Linked DNA regions of Drosophila melanogaster. The protein of the gene in region 1 interacts with the protein of each later gene in a pairwise test. Each region holds a gene or a part of one and is shown in the gene's direction. Other genes may lie near its edges. The genes, in order: CG9757, Acp95EF and GstD1.

The links.
Region 2: the proteins of CG9757 (region 1) and Acp95EF interact in a two-hybrid assay, tested with the Drosophila melanogaster proteins (one large-scale study listed by BioGRID).
Region 3: the proteins of CG9757 (region 1) and GstD1 interact in a two-hybrid assay, tested with the Drosophila melanogaster proteins (one large-scale study listed by BioGRID).

Annotation. Positions count from the first base shown.
Region 1 is NT_033777.3:13,611,013-13,614,362, reverse strand, and holds CG9757 (uncharacterized protein), read left to right. Parts: upstream 1-1,929; 5' UTR 1,930-1,985; coding exon 1,986-2,369; 3' UTR 2,370-2,780; downstream 2,781-3,350.
Region 2 is NT_033777.3:24,226,823-24,229,779, forward strand, and holds Acp95EF (accessory gland protein 95EF), read left to right. Parts: upstream 1-2,152; 5' UTR 2,153-2,169; coding exon 2,170-2,187; exon of another isoform or gene 2,188-2,249; coding exon 2,250-2,390; 3' UTR 2,391-2,457; downstream 2,458-2,957. Other genes in the region: CG13609 (uncharacterized protein), read left to right, coding at 302-1,396; Spase22-23 (spase 22/23-subunit), read right to left, coding at 2,596-2,957.
Region 3 is NT_033777.3:12,367,232-12,371,303, reverse strand, and holds GstD1 (glutathione S transferase D1), read left to right. Parts: upstream 1-2,035; 5' UTR 2,036-2,101; intron 2,102-2,710; exon of another isoform or gene 2,711-2,728; 5' UTR 2,729-2,732; coding exon 2,733-3,362; 3' UTR 3,363-3,487; downstream 3,488-4,072. UniProt on the Drosophila melanogaster protein: Conjugation of reduced glutathione to a wide number of exogenous and endogenous hydrophobic electrophiles. Has DDT dehydrochlorinase activity. May be involved in detoxification.

The DNA of each region.
Region 1 (3,350 bases):
CTATGACTGTCATAATCAGTGGAAGTAGAAAAAGGCAGCAGAAAACTTTCAGAAAGGCCAGGCAAACATTTAACCCTCAAAATTCTACCTTCTACCAACTTCACAGAAGACGATTAGTAGAATTACTGATTTACATTGGCCAGGTGTTCAGGTTTTTGGCCATAAAATTCCATAAATTATAGGTAGACCAGGTTCATGGTTGTTTAAATGTTGTAGCTTTTTAATGTGCGTTATAGAAAAATTACACGACCTTGAATGAAAACTTGAAAATACGTCTCAAACGGTATAAATAAGTGATATTAGTTTGGAAAGCTGAATAGTTTTTTGATGGTGATAACGATGACATTATAATTAGTTGATATGAAAAATGTTGGCAAACTAAAAAGTGCTAATAAACATTAAATCACGTGCCATTCAATTTAGATGTTTTTTACCTGCTTAAGCAAGGCGAATCTTTTTTAATGCGAGTCCCCCTTAAAAGTTTTTAATATTTTCTTGCTTGCATTTTGTTTGTTACTTCTTTAAAAGTTCAACACAAAGTTTTGCCTCGTCGCAGAAGGATGGCTATAATGTTGTGAAAAACGTAGGCAGTCTTGTCATTTTCTACATTTTACCTTATCCCCGTTGAACTGAACTGAACTCAACTGATGGTCGGCAATTGACGGATGACAGGTCAGACAGCAAATCAGTTTAATATACAAGTTTCAGACGTAGCAGATTTATTTTAACAGACACTTTGAGTGCATAATTGAATAAAAAGTTTTCGTATCTCGGTTTTTATTTCTCCAGAAAGTGATACAAATTGTTGGTTTACATTTATTATATTAGGTCAGGTCAGGTGAATTAATGTTTTCTAAGCATTTCAAAATATTTCCAGCCAATAAAGTAATTAAAAATAAGAAAATAAATATAATAAGCTGATGGTTTCTTCTGCTTTAAATATAAAACATGTTTCGCCATTTTTTGTTATGTAAGATAACGAGTCTGCCTAAAATGGGTTTTGAAGATCAACAACAAACTGGCTTTTGATTTTGTTTACTAAGTATTATTATTAATTATTAGTATTTCTGAGAATTTCATAAATTAGGATTTCTCCGCTTATAAACCTATTAAATCTAGGTTTTTATTTATAACACGCACACTTGTACTATTACGTACACTTGTATAGTTAATTACGGCAGAGTTCCTTTGTTTTGTAAATAGTATTGAATATTCCATACTTATAAATGAAGTGCTAAATCTTGATTAACAATGACCGAACCAGATCTTAAAATGTGCTAACCACTGAGCAAGCTAATAACCGAAATGAGTCAGTGCGTTGGCCAAAAATGAAACCGACAACATTGATGACATTTGAATAACAACCAGTTGCGTCGACTGTTTACCCTTAGATTTTAATTAAGTCAAACAAACAAAACAAAATCCCCGAACTTCCCGCATTGAAAAGCCTTACGAAATCCGACAGACGAAAGATGAATGGAGAGGCCCACTTGAGATGATGCTTCCCATCTACACTTGGCTTGGCCACTTGTCTATCGATCTGTTTTGTTGTGCGAGCCAAAGAAACTTGAATGTTTTGCGCATTTGAATAGTCGTCCGGAGAAAGCCCATCCTGAACCGGCTGGCCACTTCAGACTTTCCCCCTTCGTCTATACATTTGGTGGGGTGTTTGCCAAAAAGTTTGCCTCCGTTTCTGTTGCCTAATAGGTTTTGGTTATTATTATGGAGCAGCTTTATTGTTGTTGCTCATAGCGCTTAGCCAGACAGTTAATACGAATCGCTCTGCTCGTTGTATACATTTCAGTTCTGGCGTAACACTCACAACTTTGATGTTCCGCGCCCAGTCGAACCACTTCTACTTTTATTCGCTCCCCCATTGCCAGTCGATAAGTTCCGAATCATATAAATTGACCGGCCGCAGAGCAGAGACTTCGTAGAATCCATCGAAACTTTGCCGGTGATTAGTAGCAGAAGTTTCCTCGAAAATGCGCACATTTGTTTGCCTTGCCCTGGCGACCATTCTCCTGGTCGCCGGCTCATCAGCAGCCACATATGATCCTGTGGCGGCGCAACTTCTGGATGTGGATGCAGGTGTCCAGGCTCCGGTGGCAGCACGCCAAGCACGTCAGTTTGGCGGCGGCTTTGGCGGTCCGGGAGGCGGTTTCGGAGGTCCAGGCGGCGGATTCGGAGGTCAAGGCGGCGGATTCGGAGGTCCAGGCGGTGGATTCGGAGGTCAAGGCGGCGGATTCGGAGGTCAAGGCGGCTTCGGAGGCGGTGGCTTTGGTGGACGTCCAGGTGGCGGCTTTGGCGGTCCGGGAGGCGGCTTCGGAGGACCAGGCGGTGGCTTCGGTGGCGGATTTGGAGGCTAGAAACCAAGCAGCAATCATCTGTGACTGACTAAGCATAAAACGCTAGAAATAGACTTTGAAATCAAAGTGCAATCAAGCACGCTCTAATTAAGTTCGAAATACATTTGCCCCTCTTCTTTGATTCACTTAATTTCCTTGTCATTTGCATGGCTTTCAGTGATTGGCATTGGTCTTCAGGGTTAAATGTTGTTTGTGAATGCACTAGGAAAAAAAATGAATGTGGATACGAAAAGAAACAGGATGACTTGAAGCAATCAATGCTAAATTAAGAAGCTGATTAAAAGTATGCCACAGTATTTAAACTTTGGAGCCTTCAAACTTCCAGTCTTTCACAGTACAAGTATACGTATAAAAATGAAGATAAATTTGAAAATTTTTTTTCTTGGACTGTAAATCAGCATTTAATTCGTTCGTTCACGGTTTGTTTGCTTTTTCCTACTTATAACAAAGCAGTCCATTGAAGAAACTTTGCTTCGGCTGCTGCCACTGGCGTTTGCTATCTAACTTGCCAATCGCGTTGGATGGCAAAAGTCGTTTAAGATTAAACGCTTGCTGTAAAATTTCTCTTTTGACAAGCGCCCCTTTTATTGTTAAAAAATTAACTTGGCTTTAAATTTACGCCTTTTGTTATCCCTTGACCTCTGCGCAAAGTGAAGCCAACCAACCCAACCATTCCAAAAGCCCACCCACTCATACAAGGGTCATACGCCAACATTGATAAAAGTTTTCGTTTTTTTCTCGTTGCCCCATCACCCTCTTTTCATTTTTTCTGGCTCGTGAAAAATTTCTTGTTACTAGAACGCAGTCTTGTAAAAGGCTTTGTTAGTCTACACTTTCACGGTATACTTTGGGAACTTTGTTAAAAGTGGACTTTTCCCTTTTTTTTCCCAGCGATTTAATGACTTTGCATAGTTGGGGTTTAAGGAATTTAACAGCTTAAGATTAAGAATTTTAGTGCAAATAGACTAAAAAGAGCTTTAA
Region 2 (2,957 bases), about 11 Mb from region 1:
TTCAAACACATAAATAACACGAAGTCTAAAGATAATTGCGCTGCGAGACGGTTTTAGCGAGTTTTTAGTTTTAATTTTGTTTTGACACAAACGCAGAAGAAGAAGTGAGAGTGATTGGCCAGGGTTGCATTGCGTTGCATCTCGATGGCCGCCAATCGACCAACCAGCCAACCGATAGTGCGATACCAATAACAAACCGCTAAAAGCAAGAAGAAGCATATCACAGATAAACAAATTTTTAACCGACAAGTTGCCTATCCGACAAAATCCATATTTAATTAGATTGCATCTTGAAAGGGGCATGGAGCCGGTTCCAGAGGAAGCCCGAGGAGTGGGTGATGACGAAGGGGAACTCGATTGTCTAACACATATGATTGGGGCGTTGCTTTTGCAAAAAGAACCGGAAAATCCTGAAAATGGTGACTCAAAGGAAACAATTTGGAGTGGAGAGCTCGAATGGGAGGATGCACAGATATTGGATCAACCGAAGACTCTGCACACGGTCCAATGCAAAATCTGCTCCATGGTTAAAGAAGGTCAGCCGGAGATCAACACGGAGAACTGGCCAAACAAGCTGAAAACACAACTGATACCCAAAAAAGTGCTGGGTAAAATTGGCGAACAATTCCTAAAGGATGCCAGGATGGTTGTATTCCGATCCAGCCAAGGAGAGGTACTCAATTTATTGATCACGGCGATGAGCTCTGGTTTCGCTGGTTGCATCCACTTCCCCTCCAATCCCAACTGCAACATCAAGGCTCTAATTCTCATCTACTCGCGCGATCATCAAGCTTTGGTTGGCTTCATACCCAACAATGAGGATTCGTTTAGCGAACGACTGCAGGAGATTCTTCAGGGTGCAAAACGAAAGCCGGGCGTCAAAACACCCAAGCAGCCACAGCCAGAAGAACCGCCTCCTGTGGAGGAAGATGCCATTATAAATGAACTCCTATGGACTGGATCGCTGAATTGGTCGACACAAGCAAGTTTAGAGGAGCCAAGCATTAGTCACAAGCTTGAGTGTTCCGTGTACATAGCTATAAAAAACGGTGATCCCGGGATCAGTGCGGAGGATTGGCCAACTGATATGCCTATGGTTTTGATGCCTTCAATTTATCTTGGTCAGTTCGCCGGAGCGTTTATAAAGGACTCGAAACTTATAATTCTCCGATCGACACCTGGAGAAGAACACGACTCGCTAGCATCATCAATGTCCGCCGGCAGTTGTGGCTGTGCCCGATTTTCCTCCGAGGTCGTCTGCAAGGTTATCATGCTGCTGTATTCGTCCCCGAGGAACGCCTTCCTGGGCTTTATTCCGAGAGATCAAGCTAATTTCGTCAAGCGATTGCGGGAAGTATTAGACGAACATCGCCAAAAGGCGAGAAACAAAGAGTAAACAAGTATCTCAAGATGATCTCAAAGTATATTTAAAATATTTATTTGAACTCTAGGTATATCAAATTTATAGTCATCGAAGAAAGTATTGTTTTATAATTAGATATTTTTTTTTTTTTTGTTTAATTATTATAAATATAGACCAAAGAATATTTAAACAAGATACGCTCGCACGTCCCCAGTGGGAAAACATACCAAGGCTAAAATATGTAATCAGATAAATAATCATAAAACTGCGAACTCCTGAATGCATTTACGCAAGTTTGTATTACGAATGTCTGTCATACGTTGCCATATTAAAACTTAACCGATCTTATAAATAAACATTTTTGATGTGCATCTATTATGTTTATGTTCTACAACTAGGTCAAGGACAACTGTGTTATCGCATGTCAGATGCTGCAGCATTAATAGACATTAAAAAAAAAACCCCGACTGTAAAATAAGTAATCTAATGAATGCTTCTATTTAGGAAGTTTGAAATAAAAATAATCTTCCGAATGCAAAATCCTTTCCTTTTCGTATTAGTTGTGAATTGATCGAATAAGTATTTTCATATGTTGGGTTCATCATCTTCGTCTTAAGGATTACATTTTCAAAGGTCAATTAGTCTTTTTCATTGCGTAAGCCTTGTAAAAAATGTTAACGAATTTGATTCAGTTTTAAATTTTGAAACGAACCCATTCGATGCGGCCTTGAATACCAGTCATATATATATTGGAGATCTTTTACACATTTTTAGTATAGTTTTCGATTTCTTTAGCGGATATCAACATGGCCTCAGTAAAATTGGTGTGTTGGTACTAATCATATCTGCGTTCCAAAATCTAATATTTTTTAAAATTTTCGCACAGTTCTTTATTGCTATTTTGGTTGTAGCTCTATCCCTTAACACCTCAGCTGCAGTGTTGAACCCTAGTTCGACTGCCAAACCCAGATTTGAGACGAAAGACCGAAAACTAAGTGCTGGCGCTCTGCAGTCACTCGCTGGTTAATTACTATAGAAAGCTATAGATAAAATTGTCATTATAAAAATGGACCAAAAATAAATTATTTTCAACGAATTTCTCTTAAGTTTCTTTCGTTTGGGATACAGTTCGAAATCTTTACAAAGATATTTTATTTGGGGTTTTATTAGATAGACACTACAAGCTAGGGAACCCGGGCGGAACCAGCTGTATTTAGCATTAGCCCTAAGCTCTAAATGGACGAGGTGGCATAGTCGGCCGGGAACTTGAACAGGTGCTTTCCAGTGGCCTGAACGGAGGGAAGGAGTCCCGCGTTCGGAATGATGTTCCACGAGAGGTATAGCGATACGTTGCGGTTGTCCTTCAGGCCATTCCCGTCGTCCCAGAAGTAGTACTTGGTGTTCATGTTCTTGAAGTCCAATACGGCATTGTCGCCGCGCAGGATAATCTTGTCCCACAGTACCACCTGGTTGAGTTGATTGGCCGGTGTCTGGTACTCGGCGGTGAGATACAGGAACAGCTGCTTCACGTTCCAGTTGAAGATGCCTGTGAGATTCGTTTGCAGATCGAAGGTCACGAAGCCCAAGTCGTGCT
Region 3 (4,072 bases), 1.2 Mb from region 1:
TAAGAACAAGAGAAAACAAGTGGAAGAACAGGAAAAATTTTCAACATTTTTTGTTGACATTTCGAAAAATATGTTCAAAAGTATGTTCAAGCCGTCATATGGAAGTAAGAGTACATGTGGACACACCCCAGATCTTCATAAATTTAATAATAATAATTTATTACTTTTTTATATATCAATCTAAACTTGAACATATTCAGTTTTATGGTATAATATGTATTCTAAAGCGGAGATCGGAGAAAGATCAGCGCAGCTGTACACAAAGCGAATCACCGGCAAACGGAATCGAGAAAGTAGATGTATGTAGGCTAAATGTGCTCATATGGGAGGCCGGCAGAAGATCTCGATGATGTGGAGGTAAGAGATTATTGGGGCTCTTCGTCCTATCCATTCTCTTTGGCTTTGCTCTTTAAATAGTTTGCGCTTTTCACTTTATTTTCCTGTGACGCACATTTGGCAATGCCGTCCAACTGGTTTTTTTGATCTGCAGTGGCAAACACAGTGACCTTTCTCTACATTTTACGCTACCTTTTGGGCCGGCTTTTTGGTGAATTAACCCAACCAGTTATTGGCGAACTTATACTTACGATCTCGTGTTTCCCATGATTCAGCTGGATTTCGGCATTATGTTCAAATGAGTAACTCTCGGAACTTGGGGTTCGGAATTTTTGATTTCACAATCGTTTTGTGGATTGTTCTCGACGTTAAGAGCGCAATTTGTTTGACGTGTCGCCCACGAAAATGCTCTTTCCATTTTTTCCTACTTGTTATTGAATTTTTTTGCCCGGTCATGCTGATAGTTGGTATTGCGAATTGTGAAACTGATAAAAGCGAATTTGTTTTGGGGAAATTAAATACCCCCAGCGAAGTGTAGCAGGAATATTCAAGTGTTCGCCTTTGATAGTATCAAATACTTCCAAGAAATGAAAGTCTAGTATTCCTTTTCATGTTATATGGTCACAGCAATTACTTATTAAAACCCAAGGCCGTCATAACAAACACAAACAATAAAAGTCGATCGATATATGGACTAAGCCCATCCATATTGTTACATTGAAAATGTGTACCAGTAATTTCGAATTTGCATGTGCCTTTGACTCATCATTTAATCTACTACTATTTGTCTACCATAGCTTGGGCTTACCCATTAAAATTATTACTATGAGTCAAAGTATATTGAATAATTCGAAAAACGGTTATATTTTTATGGTCTTATTAGTACGGTATGAGCCTTTCGCGATTTGCTTGTGTGTTGGAAATACTCGACAACTGTTGCTATATATGTACATATGTACATACATACATATATGTTTGCCTGATATCAATGTTTGCCGGCCGGCTTGAATTCTTATCTGGTTTCTGTTTGCCTGCTTATTTGTTTGTACTTATTTTTTTTTGCATTTTAAAAGAATTTATGTTTTTTCAGGCGCACAGATGTTCATTAGAAATGCAAAATTGTGTTTCAAGCTAATCGATTGCATGCTTATGTGTTTGCTAATCTTAGCAAGTCGATGTGTAAATACCCTACGATTAATAATACCTGTATGGCAGGATTGTATCTTCTTTGTTATCTGTTTGTTAAAATCAGAAATTATAAAGAAATGTAACAAAATTTGTTCTTAAGCGAGTAAAAGGCTTCGTTCCAATGGAGGATCATTAGAAAGTTGCAGCTTTCTTTTGCGGGGGTATGGTGGAGGTGTATGAGGGAACGGATAGAGTGCAACCTCCTCCAGAGCACGCACACACACACTATCAATCGTCTCCACACACCCATGGCCACACAACAGTGTATTAATCACGCCGCTAACGTCACATTTTTGCCCGCCATTAGTGGGTATGTGTGGGCAAGTCAGAATATAATAGAAGACAAAAAAAAAACCCAGGCACGACAACAACTAGCAGCCCCCTCTCTCTCTCTCTGTACCTCTCTCCCCACCTTGCCACGCCCCGCGGGGCGCTTCAAGCTACAACTCTTGTTTGCCGGCATTGTGGCGACCACAGCCGGCCCCTATAAAAGTGGGCTCGCTCTTCGAATTCCGTTCAGTGCTACTTTTCATTTGATACAGTGTACATCGCGAGTTTCACAACAGAAGAAAAAAATGTAAGTTCCCCACAGCAATTTCTATATATATTGTGTTTTGTGATTGTGTGCCTGTGTTTGGTCAAAAATAAAAGGAAATATTGGCAGCATGGAAAATTACCAACATTTGAACGTATTATAGCCCCGATATGACATCATAGCCAAGTGAACTTCTGTAATGGCGGCCCAATTAAAGTCCGCTTTTGCTGAACTTGTAATTATAGAGCGCGTCTAATTGTGGCATATCTTTCTAGCATCCAGATCTATTCTGTTTGCATGCCATATGGATAATGTGTATAATACAGAAGCAATTTGGGTCTCAAGAAGGGGGAGATTGTTAATTTAAATATGAATGCGACGCTTGTGGATATGCTTGAAAAAGTTTGGTGCTCACATCTAAATTTGAAAAGAAGTTGGAGATTTGTTCACTCCAATCAAATATGGCGGACTCACAATTGTTTTCAGTTTCTTTTCAACTTGATTCTTCTTCCATTTAAAACCCAAATTAGAAATACAAATGAATGCCCTAAGCTTTTAAATAACCGTTGGTTAGAAATTAGCGAAGATAATAATATTTCTTAACAAGTTGGCTACAAATTATTTATTGCGAGCACTGTAACTAAATGATAGTTCTTCGAACTTCTACAGTAAAATGGTTGACTTCTACTACCTGCCCGGCTCCTCCCCCTGCCGCTCCGTGATCATGACCGCCAAGGCCGTGGGCGTCGAGCTGAACAAGAAGCTGCTCAACCTGCAGGCCGGTGAGCACCTGAAGCCGGAGTTCCTGAAGATCAATCCCCAGCACACCATTCCCACGCTGGTGGACAACGGATTCGCGCTGTGGGAGTCCCGCGCCATCCAGGTGTATTTGGTGGAGAAGTACGGCAAGACCGACTCCCTGTACCCTAAGTGCCCCAAGAAGCGCGCCGTGATCAATCAGCGCCTGTACTTCGACATGGGAACGCTGTACCAGAGCTTCGCCAACTACTACTACCCACAGGTGTTCGCCAAGGCGCCCGCCGATCCAGAGGCCTTCAAGAAGATCGAGGCCGCCTTCGAGTTCCTGAACACCTTCCTGGAGGGACAGGACTACGCCGCCGGTGACTCCCTTACCGTAGCCGACATTGCCCTGGTGGCAACCGTGTCCACATTCGAGGTGGCCAAATTCGAGATCAGCAAGTACGCCAATGTGAACAGGTGGTACGAGAACGCCAAGAAGGTGACTCCCGGATGGGAGGAGAACTGGGCCGGATGCCTGGAGTTCAAGAAGTACTTCGAATAAGCCTGATATTCACGTTTTTATACCCGTACATATGATGTAGTATTTATATTCACGTTCACAAACAACAATTCCAAATTCGCCTGTCTCCAAAGACAATAAATAAGTGTTCTTTTTTTTGAATGCACAAAATACAAATGAGTTTGTTTTTAGATGGGTGTACATTTACATATATTACTATGTGTATGTGGATAGTGGATATTGTGGATAGGGACTGCAATTGAATAAGTGGGCTCTCTTGATGCTCGTTATTTTCTCTTTGATGCCAGGGGTGATTCTCTTTCCTCTTTTGCTAAATCTCTCCGAATCGAGAGGCAAACAAAAAAAGATAATAAAAGATAGAATATTTTCGCGATGCTCGTTAGTTTTATGTGGTGAAGGCCTCAAAAAAGAAGCTTGAAAATCTGTAAGGAAAAAGTGAGAAATTATCAGACTTAAATTCATTGGTGAAATAGATTAGAAACTTAGAGTGAATTTCGTTTTGGTTCTGAAATTTTCATCAGAAAGGCAGCTCTTGTAATTTCTTGTTCTTCAAAAAGCTTTTAACGGTAGATAACAAAGTGGAAAATTACCAAGTTAAATTATTCATTTAAAAGGAAGCAAATCTCGACATATTTTATATATTATGGGCACCATTTTTAATAAAAACACAGTTTGTAGATATTTATGTTATTTTTCTGAGAGAATGTTTAACTGTCTCAATAAGCTTTTAT